Macaca fascicularis: one gene and its partners. The protein of the gene in region 1 interacts with the protein of each later gene in a pairwise test. Links are inferred from orthologs where the notes say so. Each region holds a gene or a part of one and is shown on either strand. Other genes may lie near its edges. The genes, in order: WWP2, ENTREP1, PDLIM7, ANKRD44, ATN1, RNF11 and galectin-9B-like.

What was found.
Region 2: the proteins of WWP2 (region 1) and ENTREP1 interact in binary tests that used the Homo sapiens proteins (3 or more experiments, as listed by UniProt). The link is inferred for Macaca fascicularis from reciprocal best matches to the Homo sapiens genes WWP2 and ENTREP1.
Region 3: the proteins of WWP2 (region 1) and PDLIM7 interact in binary tests that used the Homo sapiens proteins (3 or more experiments, as listed by UniProt). The link is inferred for Macaca fascicularis from reciprocal best matches to the Homo sapiens genes WWP2 and PDLIM7.
Region 4: the proteins of WWP2 (region 1) and ANKRD44 interact in binary tests that used the Homo sapiens proteins (3 or more experiments, as listed by UniProt). The two-hybrid records come from large-scale screens. The link is inferred for Macaca fascicularis from reciprocal best matches to the Homo sapiens genes WWP2 and ANKRD44.
Region 5: the proteins of WWP2 (region 1) and ATN1 interact in a two-hybrid assay, tested with the Homo sapiens proteins (2 studies listed by BioGRID and IntAct). The link is inferred for Macaca fascicularis from reciprocal best matches to the Homo sapiens genes WWP2 and ATN1.
Region 6: the proteins of WWP2 (region 1) and RNF11 interact in binary tests that used the Homo sapiens proteins (3 or more experiments, as listed by UniProt). The link is inferred for Macaca fascicularis from reciprocal best matches to the Homo sapiens genes WWP2 and RNF11.
Region 7: the proteins of WWP2 (region 1) and galectin-9B-like interact in binary tests that used the Homo sapiens proteins (3 or more experiments, as listed by UniProt). The link is inferred for Macaca fascicularis from reciprocal best matches to the Homo sapiens genes WWP2 and LGALS9B.

What each region holds. Positions count from the first base shown.
Region 1 is NC_088394.1:65,839,996-65,844,064, forward strand, and holds the start of WWP2 (NEDD4-like E3 ubiquitin-protein ligase WWP2), read left to right. Parts: upstream 1-1,269; 5' UTR 1,270-1,881; coding exon 1,882-1,914; intron 1,915-4,069. Other genes in the region: NQO1 (NAD(P)H dehydrogenase [quinone] 1), read right to left, coding at 1,168-1,174. UniProt on the Homo sapiens protein: E3 ubiquitin-protein ligase which accepts ubiquitin from an E2 ubiquitin-conjugating enzyme in the form of a thioester and then directly transfers the ubiquitin to targeted substrates.
Region 2 is NC_088389.1:100,052,906-100,057,001, reverse strand, and holds the start of ENTREP1 (endosomal transmembrane epsin interactor 1), read right to left. Parts: upstream 2,801-4,096; 5' UTR 2,728-2,800; coding exon 2,314-2,727; intron 1-2,313. UniProt on the Homo sapiens protein: Functions as an activator of the E3 ubiquitin protein ligase ITCH in the ubiquitination of the CXCL12-activated CXCR4 receptor. Thereby, triggers CXCR4 endocytosis and desensitization, negatively regulating the CXCL12/CXCR4 signaling pathway.
Region 3 is NC_088380.1:184,426,789-184,429,079, forward strand, and holds the end of PDLIM7 (PDZ and LIM domain protein 7), read right to left. Parts: intron 1,281-2,291; coding exon 1,160-1,280; intron 1,073-1,159; coding exon 957-1,072; intron 821-956; coding exon 734-820; 3' UTR 501-733; downstream 1-500. UniProt on the Homo sapiens protein: May function as a scaffold on which the coordinated assembly of proteins can occur. May play a role as an adapter that, via its PDZ domain, localizes LIM-binding proteins to actin filaments of both skeletal muscle and nonmuscle tissues.
Region 4 is NC_088386.1:92,729,447-92,732,946, forward strand, and holds part of ANKRD44 (serine/threonine-protein phosphatase 6 regulatory ankyrin repeat subunit B), read right to left. Parts: intron 2,521-3,500; coding exon 2,378-2,520; intron 1,283-2,377; coding exon 1,070-1,282; intron 1-1,069. UniProt on the Homo sapiens protein: Putative regulatory subunit of protein phosphatase 6 (PP6) that may be involved in the recognition of phosphoprotein substrates.
Region 5 is NC_088385.1:7,869,840-7,874,107, forward strand, and holds the start of ATN1 (atrophin-1), read left to right. Parts: upstream 1-1,468; 5' UTR 1,469-1,630; coding exon 1,631-1,657; intron 1,658-1,782; exon of another isoform or gene 1,783-1,801; coding exon 1,802-1,939; exon of another isoform or gene 1,940-2,017; intron 2,018-2,088; coding exon 2,089-2,202; intron 2,203-3,153; coding exon 3,154-4,268. UniProt on the Homo sapiens protein: Transcriptional corepressor. Recruits NR2E1 to repress transcription. Promotes vascular smooth cell (VSMC) migration and orientation. Corepressor of MTG8 transcriptional repression.
Region 6 is NC_088375.1:183,468,895-183,471,601, forward strand, and holds part of RNF11 (RING finger protein 11), read right to left. Parts: intron 1,196-2,707; coding exon 1,026-1,195; intron 88-1,025; coding exon 1-87. UniProt on the Homo sapiens protein: Essential component of a ubiquitin-editing protein complex, comprising also TNFAIP3, ITCH and TAX1BP1, that ensures the transient nature of inflammatory signaling pathways. Promotes the association of TNFAIP3 to RIPK1 after TNF stimulation.
Region 7 is NC_088390.1:36,110,016-36,113,515, forward strand, and holds part of galectin-9B-like, read right to left. Parts: intron 3,048-3,500; coding exon 3,012-3,047; intron 2,497-3,011; coding exon 2,446-2,496; intron 1,812-2,445; coding exon 1,770-1,811; intron 1,315-1,769; coding exon 1,226-1,314; intron 1,075-1,225; coding exon 912-1,074; intron 545-911; coding exon of another isoform or gene 512-544; exon of another isoform or gene 1-511.

The DNA of each region.
Region 1 (4,069 bases):
AGGTGCATTTTTAGAGGCAGGACCAGGTTCACAGGGAAAGAAATTACAAAACGCAGGACTGTGCCCCAGATGAGGCAACAGCTTTCTAAATCTTAGCGCTGTCCAGTCTCAGAGTGAGATTATTTGGGAAATAGCTCTCAGTCCCTGCAGTTGTCTCAGCTGGTTATTTATGCCTTGGGTGGAGCTGGGTTGACCTCTAAGTTCCCCTAGGGCTGATGGCCGAGTGGGGAGGCTCTATCACTGAAATGGACCCAATACTAGAAACGGATCCTGTACGAGCTGATCAGGTTTGCCTAATCCAAGGGCCTCAATGGAAAATACCTCCCAAGGCCAGGCACAGCTGCTCACGTCAGTAATCCCAGCACTTGGGGAGGACGAGGTGGGCGGATCACCTGAGGTCGGGAGTTTGAGACCACGCTGGCCAACATGGCGAAACCCCGTCTCTACTAAAAATATTAAAACTAGCTATGCATGGTGGCGCACTCCTGTAATCCCAGCTACTCGGGAGGCTGAGATGGGAGAATCGCTTGAACCCGGGAGGCGGAAGTTGCGGTGAGCTGAGATAGCACCATTGCACTCCAGCCTGGGCGACAAGAGCAAAGCTCAGTCTCAAACAAAACAAAACAATACAAAACAAAACAACAAAACCTGAGCCTGGCAGCTTGGAGCCGGTTCTGGTCTCTGTCAAACTAAAGGTATCGGTTTCCTCCACTCCTGTCCACCAATCACCAGATATTCTCATTTTCTTCAGAAGCTCGGAATCCACATTTTTAAGTGAAATCACCCATTTTAATGTTTGCAACTTAATTCAAATTGGTTTAAATACTATAGCCCGAAAGAGGTATGGGCTGTGACCGTAAGCCTGATTTGGCCTCCAGCGGCCAGTTTCTGACCCCAGTTTTGGAGGGAATTCCTGCGTCCAAGGTCAGGTTTCTCCTAAATGCCCACTGGAGTTCGTGGGGGTGGAGTGAGGAAGGATCCACAACTCCGGATACAAACAGAAGCTCTCCTTCTCCCGGAGTCCCATCAAGGCTCATCCCAGGACCCTAATCTCTTCCCTTTGTGGGTTTTGACTCAAGGAACAAAACTCAGGGCCAAACCCATACAACCTCCTCCACAGGCACCAGGACTCCGGAGACCAAGCGCCTCGCCCTTTCCAGCACTCACCGACCATGGCGCTGGTGCAGTCCAGGGCGCTGATTGGCTGGACTCGTGCTTGCCGGGGCGACCCTGGCCGGGACTAGGCTCTCACTGGGCCGGGCGACTCCAGCGGCAACCTTGCAGGAGTCGTGTGTGTGGTGCGCGGTGCAGTCTCTCTCATATATCCTGCGCGGCTCATTTGAGTTGGACGTCAACAAGGGCGGGACCCAACGCCTGTATCCTGAGGTGCTGGGCTAGAGGATGCCAAGGCTGCAGCTCCAGGAAGGGAGGGAGCCTGGGGGGTGAAGGAGGAGCCCCTCCACTCCCACCCGCCCCGCCTGAGCAACTGGTGGAAGTCAAGAAAAGTCTCTGGGGGCTGGAAGAGGGGTTCGTGGGGGTGTGTGACAGAGGCCTCAAAAATCTGGCTGGAGGGGCTAAGGCAAGCCCATCTGCGCACTGTGCCCTGAGGTGCAAGGGGATGCAGGGTGGAAGTTGTTCCCAAGAGAGTCCAGGGATCGAGTGGGCCTGCCCTTTGAGCCTTGGCACGAAGTGGAGCAGAAAAAAAGCCGGATGCAGATTACTGTGGTGCCCCAGGCTCAGATTCTGCTGAGTCACTGTGACTGTGGATTTGGAAGGCTGAGAGCACTGGGGAGACATGTTCCGTGGAGATGAATTTGTTTCTTCCTTTGCAAGATTCAGATTCTGCACTTGGGGGCCCATACAACACACTTCCCTGGGTGCATGCCGCTGCACCACCCCTGCTCCTCAAGGCAGGTAATGGGGGAACTAATTGGTTTTGTTTCCCATGAGCTAAAGCAAGGCTGGTGTGGAGATAGCAGTTATAGGGAGGCATATTAAAGAATAGCCAAAACGGAGCCAGGCGCGGTGGCTCATGCCTATAATCCCAGCACTTTGGGAGGCTGAGGTGGGCGGATCACCTGAGGTCATGAGTTCGAGACCAGCCTGGCCAACCTGGGGAAACCCTGTCTGTACTAAAAATACAAAAATTAGCCGGGCATGATGGCGGGTGCCTGTAGTCCCAGCTACTCGGGAGGCAGAGCAGGGAGAATCGCTTGAACCCAGGAGGCGGAGGTTGCAGTGGATCGAGATCGAGCCACTGCACTCCCACCTGGGTGACAAAGCGAGACTCCGTCTCCAAAAAAAAATCTCTATAAAGAAAAAGTTAAAGATGTCAATGAAGGAAAAAGAACTAGAGCTTTAAAGTGGTAATGAACCATCACAAGAATTACAGATGGGGAAGGTGAGGATGACACAGGGCCCTTCCATTGTCCCTCCAGTGCAAAAGTTAAGGAGGTACCAGAATACTGGTGTCCAACTCCCGACTTTAGGTGATCCTAGCAGCTCAGCCTCCCAAAGTGCTGGGATTACAGGCATGAGCTACCGCGCCGGGCCCCATCATGACATTTTTGCATTCATTTTGATGCAACAAGAGAGGACTGTGTATTTACGAATTATTTTGGGAGGCCTAGGCAGGAGGATCACTTGAGCCCAGGAGTTTGCAATAAGCCTGAGCAACAAAGTGAGACCCCATCTGACAAAATAGTATAAAAGGACCTTTTAAAAAAGGGCTAGGCAGCCCTGTCCAATAGAACTTTTCCTATCTGTGCTGCCCAAGTAAGGTAGCAGCAAGCTTCAAGTAGCTATTGAGCACTGGAAATGTGGCCAGCAGCCAGGCGTGGTGGCAGGCGCCTGTGGTCCCAGCTACTCAGGATCTAAGGGGAAAAGATCACTTGAGCCCAGGAGTTCACGGCCGCAGTGGTGCACTTAAAAAAATAGGAAAAAAAAAAAAGTGGCCAGTGGACTGAGGAAGTGAAGTTTTAATTTTAATTACATTGGTTTTTTAAAACTTTATTTTTTGAGGCAGAGTTTTGCTGTGTTGCCCAGGCTGGAGTGTAGCGGCAGGTTCTTGGCTCACTGCAATCTCCATCTCCACAAGCAATTCTTGTGCCTCAGCTTCCCGAGTAGCTAGGACCACAGGCATGTGCCACCACACTCAGCCACGTTTTGTATTATTAGTAGAGATGGGTTTCACCATGTTGGCCAGGTTGGTCTCCAACTCCTGACCTCAGGTGATCCACCCACCTCGGCCTCCCAAAGTGCTAGGATTACAGGCATGTACCACTGCGCGTGGCCTTAATTAATTTAAATTTAGATAGCCAAATGTCACTAGTGTCTGGAAAGACCTGAGCTGATTCAGATCGAGGCCGCAGTGTGCTGGCTAGTCTATCTCCCACTCTTCTAGTGAGATTGTTTTCTCGATCTCCAGTCTCCCCAACCCATCTGGAGGTGGGGCTCAAAGCCCCAAACCTCGAGTGTCATATTCGGTCTTTGGTTTGCAGCATGACCAGCTCCCATCCTCAGTCATCTTGTTAACATGAACTATATAGGGGCCCACCCCAAGTCATCTCATTTAGCATAAACTGTCAGGAGTGGTCTGAGAGGCCCACAATGAATAAGATGGACATTCCTATCATTTGGGATTTAGAGGCTCAGGGGCATGATGATAGTTCACTGCAGCCTCAACCTTCTGGGGTCAAGCAATCCTCCTGCCCCAGCCTCCTGAGTAGCTGAGACAACAGGTGCATGCCACCATGCCTGGCTGATCTTTATTTATTTATTTTTGGTAGACACAGGGTCTCACTATGGTGCCCAAGCTGCTCTCAAACTCCTGGGCTCATGTGATCCTCGCGCTTTGATCTCCCAAAGTACTGGAGTTACAGGTATGTGCCACCACTCCTGGCCAAATTTGTTACTACACAGTGGTAAAGACAGACATCTGAGGTCGCAGTGAGCCGAGATCGCGCCACTGCACTCCAGCCTGGGTGACAGAGGGAGATCCTGTCTCAAAAGAAAAAAAAAAAAAGAAACTTAGTGGCCAGGCACAGTGGCTCAGGCCTATAATCCCAGC
Region 2 (4,096 bases), on another chromosome or scaffold:
CCAGGAGTATTTATCTATTTATTTTATTTTATTTTATTTTATTTTTTTATTTTTTTATTTTTTTTGAGACGGAGTCTGGCTCTGTCGCCCAGGCTGGAGTGCAGCAGCGCGATCTCGGCTCACTGCAAGCTCCGCCTCCCGGGTTCACGCCTTTCTCCTGCCTCAGCCTCCCGAGTAGCTGGGACTCCAGGCGCCCGCCACCTCGCCCGGCTAGTTTTTTTTTTTTCTGTATTTTTTAGTAGAGACGGGGTTTCACCGTGTTAGCCAGGATGGTCTCGATATCCTGACCTCGTGATCCGCCCGCCTCGGCCCCCCAAAGTGCTGGGATTCCAGGCATGAGCCACCGCGCCCGGCCCAGACCAGGAGTATTAACCTTCACCTTCTGGTTGAAGGCCTTTTTTCTTTTCTTTTCTTCTTTTTTTTTTTTTTGGTACTTCATCAAATTCAACTGTGGCTTGACTGATATCTAAGTGCATTTACCTCTGAAATGATTCACAATAGTAAATGATATCAGCTTTTAATTTTATAAGACAAAAAATAGTTTTTAATAATTCTAAACTAGCTATGTTTGAGAAGACAATAGATCACGATTTTATGAAGAGCAAATTCCTAAAAATATATGCAAGATTATTACTGGCCCATAGTATTTAGAGAAACGAAATGCACCCACTCTTTGGCTGGATTTAGTCAGACAAGTAGAATAGGTAGCATAACAGGTCTAATTCCTACCCCATCTGGAATATCCATCCTTCTGGAGTTTTCCTGAACACTCATGGAGGCCAGCGGCAGAGCCCACAGGCAGGGCCACTAGGGTGGCATTTTTTCTACATGAGGCACAAATCGTGGTCTTCCCTCACCACAGCACAGCATGTACCCCAATAAGATCATTCAACATGAAAGTATTTCAAAAGGAAAGCAAATTGGCACTGGATGAAGTATACAATTTCAGGCGAGTCTCAAGGAACCTAATGTTCTTATTTAAACAATTACTTTGGGTTCAACTAGTTCTTCGAGTCCTTTTTTTCAGTTTGGTCTTGAATTGCCGTATGTGTGAAACTGCAAAAGCAGTTCTTACCATTCAGGACATACACTGATTACAGATCTTACTAAAAACTAGCAGCATTGCTAGACTTTCAGATTTACACAGTGAGTTCATAGAAAGGTTATTTACGGCCGGCTGTGGTGGTTCATGCCTCTAATCCCCACATTTTGGGAGGCCGAGGCAGGAGAATCACTTGAGCTCAGGAGTTGGAAGCCAGCCTGGGCAACATGGGGAAACTCCGTCCCTTAAAAATAAAAAATAAAAATTAAAAATTAAAAAAAAAAAGATATAAAGGAAGGTTATTTACTTTACTCATCTTCCATAGTCATCCCACAAAGATGTGTTTCCAAGTCTCTCAACACCCAGAGAACTTCAGGGGGTTACATGCCTTGGACATTGTGCGATTGTTAGGAGGTAGAGGGGAGTGACCACCCGGTGTCCGTAGATACTGGCTGGCAGCAGCTTTTCTCTGAAGTTGGGCACTCTTTGGCCCCAGGCTCAGCGTTCCCGGTTGGAGGAGTGGGTCCTGGAGAGCAGACATCTCTAGCTAGCTGCTGCGTGCTCCAGGACCTTTGGCCAGCTCGTCCCTAATGACAGGTCCCGGTTCTCACAAACTGAATTCTGCACAGCAGCCTGCATGGCTCCAGGAACCAAGTGGGGTTAAGGCCCTCCTTTAATGACCAGGTACAAGCGCCAGTTCACACACACCCTCTCATTACCTCCTGAACTCGTCTGGGGATCGAGCCACCCTACACATTTCACATTTATGTGTGTCTTAATGGAGAATAAAACAAGCGATGTGTCCGAAACTGTCCCATCCCACAAATACTCCTACTATGTGCCAGGCATTCTTGATACATCGGTGAACAAAAATGATCAAAATCCCTGCCCTCCCAGCACAGACGTTGTCAGTGCAGCAAATATTCAACGACCAAAAGAAGTTTAATCACTTTCCTCCCACTTTCCTGCCACCCACACCCTGTCCTTCCAATCTCCCAAAGAGCTGGGTGTCTTTGCTTAATTCTATTAGCTTAACTGGGACAATAAAATCCTTCAGCCTGCGCGCAACAGACACTACCCAGGTGCAGCCCAATTCACCCCTGAACTCGACCGTCGCGGAACATTTTTCTCCAGGCTCCAAAAACTTCAGATGGCGTTAAGGCTCCCCCAACTGCAGCTCTGGAGGCCAACTAAGGGACAATGAAAGGGTACGACCAGAGCCCCCTATCCACGGGATGACCGGGCTAGCGGGGCGCGCGCGCGGTACTCACCGAGGAGCCGGCCCAGAACGGGCACGAGTTCTTCACCTGCGGAGAGCTGCTCAGCGACAGCGCCCCGAAGCTGAGCGCCACCATGCAGCAGCCCAGGATCAGCTGCAGCAGCCCGAGTGACAGCAGCGGGCGGGCGGGCAACAGCGCAGAGCCCGGGGCCGCGGCGGCAGCGGCGGCGGCTGCCCGGCGGGAGGAGAGCGCCGGCGGCGCGGCCAGAACCCCGGCGGCAGCGGTGGCCGCGCAGCGAGGCCGCGACGGGGGCTGCAGCGCGCCCCGGGGCCAGCGCGGCCGCAGCGGGGGCAGCGGCGGCTCCTGGGCGGCGGCGGCGGCGGCGCCCGGGCCCCCGGTCTGCGGCCCACCCGAAAGCCCAGCCACGGGGCAGCAGGAGCCCGGGAGCACCACCGGCAGGGACATGGACGGACCGTGAAGGGTGCGGCCGGCGGTGGCGGGGAGGGGACGCTGAGCGGAGCCGAAGGCGCCGCACACTGGGCACCGCGGGCGGGCTCCGAGGCCGAGGGGGAGGGAAGGAAATGCGCACGGCCCAACCACTTGCTGCCGCCGCTGCCGCCGCCGCCGCTGCCCTGGCTCCAGCCGGCCGCACCCACCTGCCGCCTGGCGGGTCCGCCTCCTGCTGGCCCCGGGCGCAACCTCACTCTCACCCACGCGCACCCAGTGCTCGCGCTGCGCTGGGGCAAGTGCGCCACAGCCTCGGGGTCCCCGCCAAATCTGCGCCGGCTTCCTGGGGTCCTGGCAGGGTGCCCTGCCCCAAATATTTAAATAAGTCCCTCGAGCTGGGAGGCACCCTACGGCCAGGACGCGTCAGCGCCGGCCACCGACAGTCTCAGCGTCTGTCCCCACCCGCCGAGCTGGGGCTAGAGAAGAGCGAGGAAAGCGCCGTGGACCCTCGGACCCGTTTACAGTCCAGCCACTAAAGAGGCCCCGGCGCGCTTTAATGAGAAGGGAGCCCGCCCTTAAACTTTTGCCCCCACAAGGAGGGGGATGGCTGGAGGAGGGGCTTTGGGGCGACTCGATGGGAAGAGGCGTAAGCCAAGGACTTCGGGAAGGACGACGCCGAGCGCAGTTACGGCTCGCAGGGCGCAGGACCTGCCTACCCCGCATCAGCCCGGGAATGCTTTCCCGGCATCTCGGTAGGAGCGGGAATGAAAGGACTGGGTTACCTTGGAAGCATCCAGCATCCGTAAAGAAAGTACCCGGGGCAGCCCGGAGCGCATGGCAAGGATTACGCTCTATCCTCCTCTTATTGACTCATGAGCGGTATCAGGCATCTATTAGGCATCACCTGGTAGAACACGGAACCCCCAAACTTCCGAGGAAATATCCTAATAAAATCCTAAACTATTTTGGTAATATATGAAAAATCTTTAGAGAAAAAAAAAAAGATGATTCCTCTTTGCAAAATGAATTCCCTTAGTAATATCTTTTCACCTTGGAAGAATTCTAATGCGTAGAAAGTTTCGTACCTAAAATGATTATAATAGACTTTTTTTCCTGATAAGAACCACAGCAGTGTTCTTGGCAGTTAGTCAGTTCCAGTATTAGAAAACTTATCTTATCCTAAGGTATTTAACATCCTCCCACCCAATAAACCAAGAAAAGTGTGTGTCAGTTTTTATACTCTGTTTGTGGAAGCTGTATTTATATTGGTCGTTACACTTTAATCCACAATGTGATATACTGTCAATGTGCCCAAGTTTACATATACACTTCTTAAATTATTAAAGCACATGTCATTAATGGTGCCTAGGACTTCCTTTACAGACTG
Region 3 (2,291 bases), on another chromosome or scaffold:
TGCCACCCAGGCTCGAGCGCAGCGGTATGATCTCAGCTCACTGCACTCTCCACCTCCCGGGTTCAAGCAATTTTCCCACCTTAGCCTCCTGAGTAGCTGGGATTACAGGCACGCCCCACCACATTCAGCTAATTTTGTATTTTTACCAGAGACGTTGTTTCTCCATGTCAGCCGGAGTGGTCTCAAACTCCTGACCTCAAGTGATCTGCCCGCCTTGGCCTCCCAAAGTGCCGGGATTACAGGCATGATCCACCACGCCCATCCTAACTACCCTTCTCTAACCTCCAAGCCAGGCCAGACCAGTGGCGTCCCTCATGTCTGTGGGCACCAGGCCTGGCACATGGGGTCCCGCCTATACCTCCTCCACTAACCATGAGCCTGCCACGTCCGCATCACGAGGGCCACCAAGATGGCCAGCCCAAGAAACCCCTCTTACTCTCCACCCTGCCACGTGACTCAAGTTCTACCCCTCCGGGTGCACAGGGGAACGGCACACAAGACACAGCTGGGTACAGGTTTATTGTGGCACTGGAGGTGAAAGGGGGCCGGTGTGGCCAGCACCGGTGTGCTGTGGTGGTGGAGGGAGTGGGGTGGGAGGATAAGGCGGGTGGGGCAGGGCTGGGGAACCCCAGGCTCGGGCCAGGAGCCGGGTTAAGGCAACCATTGCCAGCCCTACCCAGAAATGCCGGGCCATGGCTCTGGGGCCGCCGCGGCAGCTGTGGGCAGGAGGGGCTCACACGTGGGAGAAGGCATGGCTCTTGCAGAGGGGCCTGTCCTTCTTGGAGTAGAAGGTCTTTCCTTCCAGGTTGATCTGACATATCTAAGGACAGCAAAGACCCAGTCACATGGGGTTGGGGGCAGCAGTAGAGGCCCCTTCCCAGCTTCTCCTGCATCCCCCAGGCAATGAACAGAGGGCTGGTGGACTTGGGGCTGAGGCCAAGGCTCGGGGCTCTCACCGCACAGACGAAGCAGGTGTCATGCCAGCTGAAGCCCAGCGCCTCCAGGAAGCGGTCCCCAGCGTCGATCTTGAAGTCACAGCCATGGCATTTCGTGCCAAACATCTTCTCATAGTCTGAGGATGGGAGCAGAGAGGAAGGGGACCTGGATTCATGCCTGCCCCATGCACCATCCCTCCTCACCCTCATTGGCCAGCGGGTACCTCGCTCGCAGTAGGGCACGCCCTCCTCCATGTAGAAGGCCCTGTTCCGGATGGGCGTCTTGCAGGCGGCACAGGTGAAGCAGTGCACGTGCCAGGTCATCTTCAGGGCATGCATGATCTCCTGGAAGGAGCTGCCAGTCACTCGGCAGGCTCAGGCCCCTCCTGCCCTCCCCTGGGTCACGGGAACACAGGGCAGCTGGCCGCGGGCCCTGTTCCTTCTCATAGTAAACACTACATCTAACCGTTCAGGACTCCCATGCCTCCATCTCCAACTCCAAGATCTCTGAGTGGACGTCCACTGCGCCTTCAGACCTGCCATGTCCAGTACTCAGTTCCTGATCCCCTCGCCCCAAACCTCTCCTCCCACAGGCATCCCCGTAACACGGATGGCAACTCCATTCTCCCATTTGCTGCAGCCAAACACACCCTCCTCCCACACCCCACACCAGGTCCCCCAGGAAATCCAGTGGGGCCCACCCCCAAGGCATATCCAGATTCTGCGTGCTGCTCACAGCCTCCCTGATGTGAGGTGAGCCACAGCGATCTGGCCCCTGGGATCACACACAACTGGCCTACAGCTCCTCCCTCTGATCCCAGCTGCCGCAGCAGGCCCCTGCAACCCCTGCAACCCGAGACAGGCTGTATCCCCCTGCATGAAACCCCTTACCGCTTCCCATTTCTCCCAGCAAGAACCAAGCCCCATGCAGACGCTGGAGGCCAGCAGGTCTGACCTCGTTCCCACCTGTCTCCCCCACTGCTCTCCTTTGCGTTCTCACCTTGCCTTCGCACACTGGCCTCTTGCCTGAAATTGGCACACCCGGCACGCTCCTGTCCTGGGCTTGACACTGGCTGTCCCCTCTGCCTGGACTGCTCTGCCCCGGATATCTCAAGGCTCACCCCTCACCCCCTTCAAGTTTCCGCTCGAGTGCAGTCTTCTCCACGAGGTCCCACCCTGACCACACGAGTAGCAGCCAGCTGCCTTCCCTACACCACGCCCAAGCGCTTCTTGCTCTACTCTTTCCTGTTTTCCATAATGTGATCTAACATTACTTCCAGGCAGTCTACTTATTGCGCTTATTGCTTACTGTCTGCCTCTCCCCTCTTCTTCCAGCCAAAACGTAAGGCCCAGAAG
Region 4 (3,500 bases), on another chromosome or scaffold:
AATTTGAGGAATAAAGGAATGATTGTGATGACCAGCTCAGTGCTACATCACTGAAGCCACTATTTGGGGTTTGCTTTAAGAAGGTATTGGCCAGGCACAGTGGCTCACACTTGTAATCCCAGCACTTTGGGAGGCTGAGGCAGGTGGATCACTTGAGGCCAAGAGTTTGAGACCAGCCTGGCCAACATGGTGAAACACGATCTCTACTAATAACACAAAAAATTAGCTGGGCATGGTGGTGGGTGCCTGTAATCCCAGCTACTGGGGAGGCTGAGGCAGAAGAATCGCTTGAACCCAGGAGGCAGAGGTTGCAGTAAGCTGAGATCGCGCCATTGCATTCTAGCCTGGGTGACAAGAGCAAAATTCCGTCTCAAAAAAAAAAAAAAAAAGAAGAAGAAGGTATCTGAGAAGCTCTAAACCCACACTGGAGTTGGAAACAGGCCCACAATCATTATTAGGCCTCCCTTTGAATTCTTAGCAGCACTGCTCTATCAGCTCAACATTCACTTCAGTATTAGCTTCTGGGCCAAGTCAACATCCTAGAGATCCAGTATTTGTCCTGACACATTCACTAAGCTAACAAGAACACACGGCTGGAGCCTTGGTACCTCTCAGCTGATACCACCACTCCTGGATAAAAATAACACAACCTGTTTTTTTGTTTTTTTGAGATGGAGTCTTGCTCTGTTGCCCAGGTTAGAGTGCAGTGGCACAATCTCAGCTCACTGCAACCTCCGCCTCCCGGGTTCAAACAATTCTCTGCTTCAGCCTCCCGAGTAGCTGAGATTACAGGCACCCGCCACCACGCCTGGCTAATTTTTGTATTTTTAGTAGAGATGGTGTTTCCACCATCTTCGCCAGGTTGGTCTTGAACCCCTGACCTCATGATCCACCCACCTCAGCTTCCACACAACTTTTTTTATGGCCTCCAAATCCAGGACAAGGCTGTGTGAGTCAAAGTGCTCAGGGTTCCAACTCACTAAAACATGGTATCATTTGCAGCAGTTGATTTTGCTCAAATAGAAGCTCAATGCAAAGGCATTCAACACAGAGACCAAGAGTGTCATACCTGAATGTTAACATCTGCCCCGTTGTTTACTAACAATTCAAGACACAAAGCACCATGAGTGGAGGCAGCAGCAAAATGCAAAGGGGTGAACCCATTATTGTTTGGCTGGTTCACGTTAGCACCGTAGTCAATCAACTCGTTAACCACAGCATCCTGTCCATTGTAGCAGGCAATGTGAAGCGCTGTATTTCCATAGACATTGATTTCATCAATCTGCAAAAGAGTCCAACACAGGGTGATTCAAGTCATTGGAGCCAGTTTACTCCATTTTCCACAAAAAGCATAATTGCTGTGGCTAGAGAAAGGAAATAGCCATCCGTCAATATAATTGTTCAGAGCTTACTCTTGCCCCAGCGTGGTCATCTTGGGAATGCTTGTCACCCCATGTAAAGATCAGCAAAACGTTAATGTGGCAAAAAATGAACTGGAGAGAGAGAAGTTTCATCCTGGGGAGAGGTATTTTTCAGCTAACAAAGGGATAGAAGGTGAAGGGCAAAGCTGCTTTCAAAACACCAAAAGAGAAGTAAATCAGAAGAGAACAAAAAGAGTCCCACACTCTAGGGTTGGGGCACAGCAAACCTCAAGAAATGGTAGTGGATAGCAGGTAGTGGCTGCGGAGATGGCAGGAGAGGTGGCTGTGGAGCCTAAACACAGAAGGCAGGTCAGAACCTAATATCTGTTTTGCTCTGGAGCCTGACACCTCACCAGGTTCCATTTTAGTAGCAGAGCAGTGGTGCCGTCAGGAGGTGTGTTTCGTCCATGGCCCCCTATTGCTTTCTGAGACCTGCCCTGGGTGCCTGGTTTCATCATTATGGTTGTATAGCAACTTGGTTTTCCTTTCCTAGGGGACAGGATGTTCCAGCCTCACCACTGCTCCTGTTCTACCAGCAGAAGGAGAATGCAGCAGTCCGACTTCTCCAGCTCAAGAACAGACATTGCTGATGTTTGTCTCTGCCATTTATTCATTCATTTCTGCTGTAAGTCATGACTTAGAAGGCTACATTTGGAAGGTGGGATGCAGAACCTTGGCCAGTCTTTAAAAACAACTGGTTAATAAATATTACATAGAATCTATATGTCTATATATTTATCTATGTTGATATAGAAAGTTATTCAGTTTCCAGTTTTCCTCTGCTTAGTGTATGCCCCCACTGCCCTTTACCAGTTGCCCACAAAATCTTAAAAAGACAGGATGCTAGAAAACAACTCCCCTGCCCTTGAATTAAAGTGCAAACAGGATTTAACTTTAGAATAACAGAAATCTCACAAATACACAGGCCATGCAGTGATGCATTCATTATAGCTCACCTCCACCCCCAGGTTCAGGAGATGCTTGACAACATTGATCTGTCCATTGGAGGCCGCAGCATGCAGAGGGGTATAACCCTTCTTATCCTTACAGGTCACTTCTGCGCCATGGTTAATGAGCAATGCCACAACATCCAGGTGGCCTTTACAAACAAAGCAGCAGAAAACATCGTTAACCTTTATAGGACAATTTGCTGATTCATTTCACCTAAATTATCACCATTAGCTTTTATTGCCACCAGTATTTTGCTGAGTTATTTGTAAAAACTGGAAAATATTCATGGCAGCTATTCAACAAATATTTATTGAGTACCTCCTATAGTCAGGCATAATGTAAATGCTGTGGGAAGAAAAAAGATGATTCATATGAGCCTTCTCTTCAAGGAGATCTAGGTGATGCCTGTTACCATGCTAATGAATAATGGTGAGGTTTTGCCAAGACATCAGTAGAGAGCCTTAAAAAATGTTGTGTTAAAATGAAAGCAATGCTTTTGAAAACAATTGCCATTCCTCACTGAAAAGTTTAACAATGACAATTCAGTTAGGAAAAACTGATAAAAGAAAAAAAATAATGAAAATGACCATAGATTACTGTTTAATCATACAAAATTACTACTGCTTAACTGTATTTGGACCCACAAAAATGGCAATTTCATATGGCTCAACTTAAAAGTATCCTCATGAATTAGAGGCCAAACAGAAAACCCTTCTAGTTTTAGCTCCTGTTAGCATTCTTTTCTACAATATTTTACTCTGTTCCATAATTCACCATATATAGAATTAGCCTGCACAACATGGTGAAATCCTGTCTCTACTAAGAATACTCTACTAAAACCCTGTCTTTACTAAAAACTTAGTTGGGTGTGGTGGCACACGCCTGTAGTGCCAGCTGTTCAGGAGGCTGAGGCACGAGAATCGTTTGAACCTGGGAGGCGGAGGCTGCAGTGAGCCGACATAGCACCACTGCACTCCTGCCTGGGCAACAGAGCAAGACCCTGTATCAAAAAATAAATAAATAAACAAACAAACAAAAAAGCATATTTGACCTTTCTTTCAGCACTGAAGACTGTTCAGTGCTTCAGGATCACTGCTCTAAATGCGGCTGAAAATTGAAGGGTAGAAG
Region 5 (4,268 bases), on another chromosome or scaffold:
TAAAGGTCAATCACAAGAAAAGTGCACACACGTATATATACGACATCAGTGGAAAGGAAGAAAAAATAAGAAAATACCATTTTTGCTCTCAGAAGATCTTACAATCAGTAATTTGGAGGGACTTGACACTTAGCAAGAAATACGAACAAGCGCAAATGAATATAGCTGGCTCTAGGGATTTGGATAAAGATAGATACCTGCCTACTTACTGATAGACAGATATGGATGGACTGGCTTGAGGAGCTGTGTAACCCCGTCTATACCAAGTAGGAGGACAGGCTTCAAAACTGGTAAATCTGTATTGTTTGCTCACGGATATTTTGAGTCTTTAATCATTCATGTGAAAACCCTGACTTTTCCTCTAGCCTTAGGGAGCTCAAGTACTAGAGAATGAGTCCTTTATGAGGCTCTCAAAAGTGAACTTCTACAATTTGGGGCTACCTAGGTTTAGTCTTGGGATTGGTAGGGCTGTGTTCCTTTGTATTATAGAATGGGACATTCTTCTTCTACCTACTCTGATGTGAGAAAAGATTCTTTTCATATCTCTGTGACTGATCTAGGCCTTCTGAGAATTCTCCCCACCAACTTCTGAGGAGAATATAGCAAAGTATAGAAGAAAGAGCATGGGCTTTGAAGTCACAGACGTGGGTTTGATTCTGGCTCTGTCACTGGTTCCTCACTGTGTGAGGTTGAGCTAGTCACAATCACCATCTTTGAGCCTCAGTTCCCTCACCTATATAATGAAGGTAATAATGCTTACCATTCAGGGTTGGTTGTAAATATTAAATGAAATCATGTGTGTGAAGGGCTTGATATAAAGAAGGTACTCAATAAATTAATACTTGAACGTCATTTTTTTTTTGAGACAGAGTTTCACTCTGTCACCCAGGCTGGAGTGCAGTGGCATGATCTCGGCTCACTGCAACCTCTGCTTCCCAGGTTCAAGTGATTTGCTTGCCTCAGCCTCCTGAGTAGCTGGGATTACAGGCACGCGCCACCACGCCTGGCTGGGTTTCACCATGTTGGCCAGGCTGGTCTTGAACTCCTGACCTTGCGATCCGTCCACCTCGGCCTCCCAAAGGGCTGGGATTATAGGCGTGAACCACCATGCCCCGCTCCATTTCTTTATGTTCCTTTGCAAGGCTCCGTGGAATGTGTGCGTTCACAAATATCCTTTAGGGATCATGAAGGGTCAAACTGTGTCATCTCCTGGATTGGAGCTTGTAGGTACATCTGAATTTTCTGCCCTCTACAGAGGTGAAAGAGATTATACTTTAAGCAGAATCTCCCTGCCTTTTAGATAGCTAAGGTGGCCCATGGGGCAAGCCAGCAATGTCTTGTGGTATCTGTACCTCTTGGCCTAAAGGCTTAGGGTTGGGCCGCTTGCTCAGTTCTCTGACAAGCGTAATAGTATTCCTTTGTGACTCTATTCTCCCAGTGGGAGACTCTGATGGTTTCCTTCTAACAGGTTTCACTGAAAACAGATCCTGCAAAAGTTCCAGGTGCCTATACTGGAAACTTGGAGATCCTGCTTCCCAGACCACAGCTGTGGGGAACTTGGGGTGGAGCAGAGAAGTTTCTGTATTCAGCTGCCCAGGCAGAGGAGAATGGGGTCTCCACAGCCTGAAGAATGAAGACACGACAGAATAAAGACTCGGTGAGTTAAAATGAGAGATGTGAAAGATGAGGGGCGGGGCAGGCAAGCTAGGAGGAAGGGTCTAGAGAAGAACAAATAATGTGCACCATAAAGTTAGCTGCAGTGTAAAGAACAGTGTTACCTACCTCCTTCCTCCTCCTGCAGATGTCAATGAGGAGTGGACGGAAGAAAGAGGCCCCTGGGCCCCGGGAAGAACTGAGATCGAGGGGCCGGGCCTCCCCTGGAGGGGTCAGCACGTCCAGCAGTGATGGCAAAGCTGAGAAGTCCAGGCAGACAGCCAAGGTATTCTGTCCTCAGGTCCTCCCACAGGATGCCCAGGCACTGGGGCTGAGGGGGTGTGTGTGTTGTCGGGGGAACTTCCTGTTTGGCAGAGGGTAACGGTGAAACTTGGGAGGTAGGGAAAAGACAGGAATTTTCTTTCTCTCTAACAGAAGGCCCGAGTAGAGGAAGCCTCCACCCCAAAGGTCAACAAGCAGGGTCGGAGTGAGGAGATCTCAGAGAGTGAAAGTGAGGAGACCAATGCACCAAAAAAGACCAAAACTGAGGTGGGAGACCCTTGTCGCCATCCTGACCCATCTTGTGATCATTCTTTTCTCAGATTTCCTTATGCTCACTATTCTTAGCTGGATCTCTCCTGGGACATAAGAGAAAGGCCAGATCATAGTGCTTATGAGAGCAGTTCTGTCTCTAATATGCCAGAGAGAGTCTTAGAACTTTGACAGACCACCAGATGACCTGGCAGGGCCAAAGGGGACCAGAAGAGTTGGGGGATTCTAGTCTCTGGGTGAGAAGTCTTAGTGGGAGGAACAAATAAATCTTAAGGAAAATGCAGAAGTGGTCTTTCTTTTTTATTGTTTTTTTTGGTTTGTTTTTGAGACAGAGTTTCGTTCTGTCACCCAGGCTGGAGTACAGTGGCACAATCTCAGCTCATTGCAACCTCCGCCTCCTGGGTTGAAGCAGTTGTGCCTCAGCCTCCCGAGTAGCTGGGATTATAGGCATGAGCCACCACGCCCGGCTAATTTTTGTAGTTTTAGTAGAGATAGGGTTTCACCATGTTGGCCAGGCTGGTTTGGAACTCCTGGCCTCAAGTGATCCTCCTGCTTCAGCCTCCCAAAGTGCTGGGATTACAGGTGTGAGCCTCTGTGCCCGGCCAGAAGTGGTCTAAGAACCAAGGGCTTGGGGGATGGAGGATGGTTAAAGTGGTGGTTATGAGATGGTGGAAGACAGGGATTTGGAGTCAGCTGTGGGTAAAGACAAGGTGCTTGAGATGGATCCTTGAGGAAGGAATAGGGTTTTATAGGAGAGAAACAAGACTGGCTGCTAAGGAGCAGCCAAGAATGTGGGGAAAGTGGGAAATCCCCAGATGGCAAGAGGTACTCACCACGTCACAGTACAACAGTGTGCTGTGAGGGGAAATGATTTTATGCAAGACAGGCCCTAAATCTCAGGGAAGCAGGAAAGGAAAAGAGAAAAAATGAGGCTTCCCTTTTCTACAGCAGGAACTCCCTCGGCCACAGTCTCCCTCTGATCTGGATAGCTTGGATGGGCGGAGCCTTAATGATGATGGCAGCAGCGACCCTAGGGATATTGACCAGGACAACCGAAGCACGTCCCCCAGCATCTACAGCCCTGGAAGTGTGGAGAATGACTCCGACTCATCTTCTGGCCTGTCCCAGGGCCCAGCCCGCCCCTACCACCCACCTCCACTCTTTCCTCCTTCCCCTCCACCGCCAGACAGCACCCCTCGACAGCCAGAGGCTAGCTTTGAACCCCATCCTTCTGTGACACCCACTGGATATCATGCTCCCATGGAGCCCCCCACATCTCGAATGTTCCAGGCTCCTCCTGGGGCCCCTCCCCCTCACCCACAGCTCTATCCTGGGGGCGCTGGTGGAGGAGTTTTGTCTGGACCCCCAATGGGTCCCAAGGGGGGAGGGGCTGCCTCATCAGTGGGGGGCCCTAATGGGGGTAAGCAGCACCCCCCACCCACTACTCCCATTTCAGTATCAAGCTCTGGGGCTAGCGGTGCTCCCCCAGCTAAGCCACCTAACACTCCGGTGGGTGGTGGGAACCTGCCTTCTGCTCCACCACCAGCCAACTTCCCCCATGTGACCCCGAACCTGCCTCCCCCACCTGCCCTGAGACCCCTCAACAATGCCTCAGCCTCTCCCCCTGGCCTGGGGGCCCAACCACTACCTGGGCATCTGCCCTCTCCCCATGCCATGGGGCAGGGTATGGGTGGACTTCCTCCTGGCCCAGAGAAGGGCCCGACTCTGGCTCCTTCACCCCACTCTCTGCCTCCTGCTTCCTCTTCTGCCCCAGCACCCCCCATGAGGTTTCCTTATTCATCCTCTAGTAGTAGCTCTGCAGCAGCCTCCTCTTCCAGTTCTTCCTCCTCTTCCTCTGCCTCCCCCTACCCAGCTTCCCAGGCATTGCCCAGTTACCCCCACTCTTTCCCTCCCCCAACAAGCCTCTCTGTCTCCAATCAGCCCCCCAAGTATACTCAGCCTTCTCTCCCATCCCAGGCTGTGTGGAGCCAGGGTCCCCCACCACCTCCTCCCTATGGCCGCCTCTTAGCCAACAGCAATGCCCATCCAGGCCCCTTCCCGCC
Region 6 (2,707 bases), on another chromosome or scaffold:
TCTATACAGTCCAGGTGATAGATGTGCATGCACGGCAGAAATCGAATTGGGTCCCCATAAACAAAGTCCATCATACAGATCACACACCTGTTGGGAGCAATGGAGAGAAATCAGAAGGCATTTTCGGAAGTGTCCTATTCAGAAAACTGTTTAAATCCCATTAAAGACAGTGTTAATCTGAGTAACACATCAGAATGCTTTGCCTGTCATCTTATCACCAAAGCATGCAAACTGAATTTTTTCCTAATGTTGATCTATACACAATTTCTTATTTAAATCCCCCGAGAATTTGCAGGACTTAGGAGCAATCAACAGAGCAAAGAGAAATGGATTACATATGGATCAAGTTTACTGCTGTGCTTGTAAACAGCTACATACTATAGCAGATACCTTAAGGAGAATGGGATTATTTTAGGTAGAAAAGCATCAGTTAGATCAACTTTGTTTTTTTGCACTATTTAGTGTAATCCTGGACTAAGACAATTTTCATTTTAATAACTGTAAAACAGAAACACTAACTTCAGCCTACTTACTGGGTTGCTGAAAGTTAAAGCTCTCTTCACTAACTTTCTCTTTATTTATTAATTTAATTTAATTTTATTTTTTGAGACAGAGTTTCAAGTGATTCTCCCACCTCAGCCTCCCGAGTAGCTGGGATTACAGGCATGTGCCACCATGCCTGGCAAATTTTCGTATTTTTATTAGAGATGAGGTTTCACCATGTTGGCCAGGTTGGTCTTGAACTCCTGGTCTCAAGTGATCTGCCCACCTCAGCCTCCAAACATGCTGGGATTACAGGTGTGAGGCACTGTGCCCAGCCTGTGAAAATTTGTAATTACTATATAACATTCTCTTGCTAGTAGCCAGTAATAGAGCTATGAAAAAAAATTAAACATTCTCTTGCATTAAGCAAAGTGTTTCAACATATTAAATGTCTGACTTTCTAAAGTGCAGGAGAAAAGGCAAAATTTTCAAAAGCAACCTGAAAATAAAATTTTGAAATGTACAAATTAATTAAAACTTACTCCCGGATCTTTTTTTCTGATCCATCTCTTCCAGGGTCATAAACTCCTTTAGGCAGATGTTGTATAAGGCCTATTCTTTGAGCTATCCTAATTTGTTCCTCTTCAGTCAGCTGAGTTGCTAGCCGAGTCTGGCTAGGTGTTGGGTGGTAGACTGGAACTGGAACTTGTTCCTAAAATATTAAAATATGGAGGAAAAAGATTATTTTTTCAAAACCTTTTGAGGGCTTATTTTTTAGTCAGAGATAGAAGGGAAAGGGAGCCCTGGGAGGGCAGGAAGCTGGGCTAGTGTGTGGCTGTATTGACTGTGTGTTTCACCCTGCCTCAACTTCAGCTATTGGAACAAAACATACAACAAAACATTCTCATTCTGCCTAAAGGATATAAACACAAACATCACTGAAGAGCTGGCATGCAATGTTAAATGAACTATTTCCATGTGATAAGAGACTAGCCTGGACAACATAGCAAGACCCTATCTCTAAAAATAATTTGAAAAAAATTTTTTAATGGATTGGACTATGGCAAAAATAAATCTGAAAGTCATCTAAGACTCACTTTCCCATTTCATAGGACCAAGCTTGCCTACAGTCACATAATTGACAATACTGAAATTAGAATTCTACTGCTCCTAATCCAATGGATTTTTTACACAATTCATTCAAAGGAGTCATATGTATAACCCCCACCTTTTATTTGAGACAGGGTCTCCCTCTGTTGCCCAGGCTTAAATGCAGTGGCACAAACACAACTTACTATAAACTCAACCTCTCGGGCTCAAGCAATCCTCCAACCTCAGCCTCCTGAGTAGTGGGACCATAGGGGTAAGCCATGGTGCCTGGCCTATAATAATAATATTTAAAACTGAGCAACTCTGATGGAATGAAGCTGGGATGGAGTGTGGCCTAGGAGGGATGAGGCTCCCCATCCGCAAGCCCTCACCTTGGTTACCTTTGCAGAATCCTCAGAATCAACAGTCTGAAAAACACTACTATCTCAGAAGATGAGATTTTCAGTCTGAAGAATTAAATTATGAGATTTCAGTCTCCGCTCAGCTACTTACTGTGATTGCTTGGACCAAGTCCCTTAATGTATTTGAATAATGTATTTGAATAAAGCAGATAACAGCACCCACTTCAGAGAGCTGATACAGTCATGAGGTAACTAAGAGCTTTGTAAATGCCAATATTTGTAAATTATTCTATCTAACATCTCCCCATCGTCATGATTCTACTCATCATGATTCTCCGCTTTGCAGACTTTAAGCTAAGTGCTACTGTCCTTGGCTTTGGTCCTAACTTTCTGGCTTCTCTTTGAATACTACAAACTCTTAGCCTCTGTTGTGATCTCTGCCAGCTCTGAGTTCTTCGACCCTTGAATTACTATTTCCAGTCTAGACTAACTTCCTGAATCTTAGTCTCAGTCCTAGTTGACCAGTTTTGATGAACTGTCATCCACATGCAAACTGGGAACAAACTGGTTTAAGACTTTGGATGATATAAAGGGTCTCTTAAATCCTTGAATCTAACAAACAAAAATAACTAAATTGTTTTAGAGCAAATAAACGCCAACTATGGGTTTTTCAGAGGCTAGATTTCTTCAGTCTTGTGTCTCAGTCTCTTCACATATGTGTAGAGAATACAGAAAGCAGAACAGAAAAGGAAAGTTCTACTTTATGATGAAAC
Region 7 (3,500 bases), on another chromosome or scaffold:
CACAGAGTAGTTAAGTCACTTGCCCGAGGTCACACAGCTGTCCACAAATCAAAGAATGTTGCTCCCTGGCTTGAAACACTCCTTTGTGGCTTTTCACTGTGTTAAAATCCAAGCTCCTTTCCATGGCTGCAAAGCCCTACATCAGCCGTTTTCAACCCTGATTGCAGAGTATAATCACTTAAGGCATATTTTTAAAATGCGAATGCCCAGCTGACCGCCTCGCTGGCCTGGGCTGGGGCCCCAGCGCTGATATTTCCTTTGTAAGCTCCCTGGGTGGTTTGAATGTGTAGTCAGGGCGGACACGCCTGCCTGCTGTTCCTGGACAGGCCACACCCGTGCCTCTGCACGTTGGCCCTCGCTGCCCCTCCCAGGCTCGCTCTATCTCATCGCTCTGTTTTGCTTTGTGTGTGGCACTGTCGTTATCTGTGACAATCTGTCCATGCTTTACTTTCCTCGTTCCTTCCCCACCTAAACTGTAAACCCCCTGGAGGCAGGACCCGGTCTGCCTGCTTCATGACTGCGTCCCCAGCACGCGGGCTGCTTCCTGCACAAAGCGGGCCACAGGAAAATCATTGTTGAATGAATAAGTGAAGAAATGAAAAACACCTCCTTCTTGGATCTGATTTGACACTTACTGGCTGTGTGACCACAAGCAAGTAACCTGCACTTGTGAGTTTCTTTCCTCATCTGAAAAAGCAGATCCCAACACTTCCTTCATGTGGGATAGTAATAATAATAATAATAATGATAATAATAATAATAATAATAATTTGTTGGCCACCTTCTCTTCTTCTGGGCCCTCATCCCAGAGGCATCTGCCCCCATCCTGTTCAAGGCACCCCAGACCTCCTTTACCCCTCCCCCTGTGCACCCACAGGAGCCTCTCCGAGCTCCAGACTGCGGTGCCTCACCGAGAAGCTCTGGCCTCGGACGAAGGGCATTTTTCGGGGCAGACTTCGCTCCTCAGACCCCCAACAGTTGTTGATCTGGGTGTTGCGGACCACAGCGTTCTCATCAAAACGGGGGTTCAGGTGGAAGGCGATGTGGCTCCCAGAGCACAGGTTGATGTGGAACCTGGGGTGGGCGGCCCACCTGAAGCTTTATCCTCTGAGTTCTGAGCCCCATTTCCTCCCTGTCATCTGCAGCCTGCCCGAAGCCAGGGGAATGGCTGGAATGACCTTGAAAGGCTCTCTCTTCCCAGAGGTCACTGGAGCCCTTGCCTTACCTCTGAGCACTGGGCAGGACAGTGCCCGACAGGATGATGGACTTGGATGGATACAGTCCTCCCGGAATGGTGGTGACAAAAGGCATTGGCTGTGGGAAGAAGGGGGACAGAGCAGCCAGTGGCAGCCAGGGCAGCTGCCACACGGAAGGGGAGGACTGTACCAGTTCCCATGACTCTGGGCTGTCAGCTGAGAGGAAGCCCGCAATAGCTTTACTTGGTTCCCTAAAAGCCAAAGGAAAACTTTCCAGCGCTCCTCAAATTCATGGGCTTAGATTAGTGTCACAAAAGGAACTTTGGCCAAACACAACAAGACTCGTGGGATGAAAAGGGAGGGCCATGCAATGTGCTCACATTGACATGACAGTTTTAAGGTTGAAAGCTCCTCTCTACAGTCTTCTACTTCGCTGGGATGCTTTGAAGCCCTTCAGCTTACCAAAGGACCGCTTTTCATTTTTCAAGGCCAGTGGATACCCCTGCAGCGGCTCTTCACCCCCAGCCTGCCCACCACAAACAGAACCTTCGCCCTCCCTGAGAAGCCACTTACATAGGCGGGGTGGGGGTACATCACAGGTGGGAGGGCGGGAGTCTGTTGAAAAGAAACCAGGAAATTCAATGGGAGAGCACATGTGTGCACGAGCACTCACCCACGCGCACCCACGCATTCCAGAGGGGCCTCCACTGTGAGGCTGACCTCGTGAGGCTTTGGCCCTTGGACTCTCCCATCCACCTCCCTTTTCATGTTAGCCTTCCTGGAACTTCCTGCCGTGTTCCCGGACCCCACCACGGTCACCTGCCCCTCAACCTCTCCACAGGCAGCCCCACTAACGCTAAACTCCCGGCCTGATTTGCACCAGCAGGAGAAGAGCTTAAGCCTTTGATCAGGAGTGACATCCGGGGAACGTAGGATGCAGGGCCAGGAACCTCACATCCGGGTGCTGGGGCCACTGCACTCCCCACTTGGTGACAGGTGGACCAGTTTCCCTCCCGGTCTCTAGGGGACCTGCCTTTTCCACCACTGGATAAATCCTGCTTCTTGCAGAATCTCTGCTGTCCCAAGAACAGCTTTAGCCACATGTCACCTGAGCCAAGGACTCAGCCCCAGATGTCCCCATCCTCCTTGCTAAACCGCTTTCTTCCTGACTCTGGGGCTCTAGGGAGTTTAGTTCTTGGTGAAGGAGGACACTGTGCAGCTGTGAACTGGCCAGAACTTGTAGACTTACAGAGAACATCTGTCCAGGGGCGCTCTGCACCGTGTGGATGACTGTCTGGGTCTGGAGGAAAGAAACCAGGTCTCACCCAGGCTCTCCCATGTGAAGACCACCAGCTCCCACCAGAGGGCGCCACACGGCAGGCACCTCCAGGGGGCGTAATCAGCCCAATGGCCCCACAGACCCCACAGAGGGTGGGTCCAGCTGTTTCTTCTCTCAAGGGGATGAGGGAGGGCAAAGGTTAGAACCCTGGAGAAGACAGATGGGGACGCTGGTGGCTCTGGCCCATCTTTCCTCTCAGGGAAACGTCTCTCAGCCTAGCCTCCCTTTGCAGGTGGGAGAAGGGAATGTGGGACACGGTCTTCCGTGGCTGCCCACAGGCTGGCAACTCAGGTTGTTTCATCACGGCCAGCCAACCACATCCAACCCCCCACCTCGCCAGGCCGGGCAGACGGTCAAGGGCCTGGCCTCTGCCCTCCCCACTCCCAATGGGAGAGGCCCAATGCCTGGCCCCGCCTCCTCCATGAGCCCAGAAGAGCCAAAATGAAGAGGATCCAAAAAGAAAGCAAGAGACTTACAATGGGAGCCGGGTTGGCGGGCCGCACGCCGGGAGGCTGGAGGGGTGAGGAGAGTCAGAACGGTGGTTATGGCGGGCACCAGAGAACGGGAAGAGACAATGGCAGAACTCCAGGGAGGCTCTTGTGCTCAGAAATGCCTCCCCAGACACACCCGCCTCCCTCTTGCTCCCAAGCAAGCCTTCCTGAGCCCGTGGCCCCCAGATTTTTACCCCCAGGTGCACAGGGCTTTGGGGTTGGGGGGTAGGGTATCCCCATTGGTTCCTCCCGAGAGAGAGGAGGCTGGGTTTGATAGAGACCTCACTGCTTTCTGTAGCTCCCACAGCTAAGAGCGTTACTTCCAGTGCCATATCTCACCCGTAAGGTGAGAAGGGGTATTTGTTGAAGGCCTGCTGTGGGTCGATTCCTGGGCTTCAGTGCTTTCCAATGAGGGAAGCAGCCTCAGCTCCTGTGTTCCTGGTGAGGCAGTGAGGCTCAGAAAGATTAAGCAAC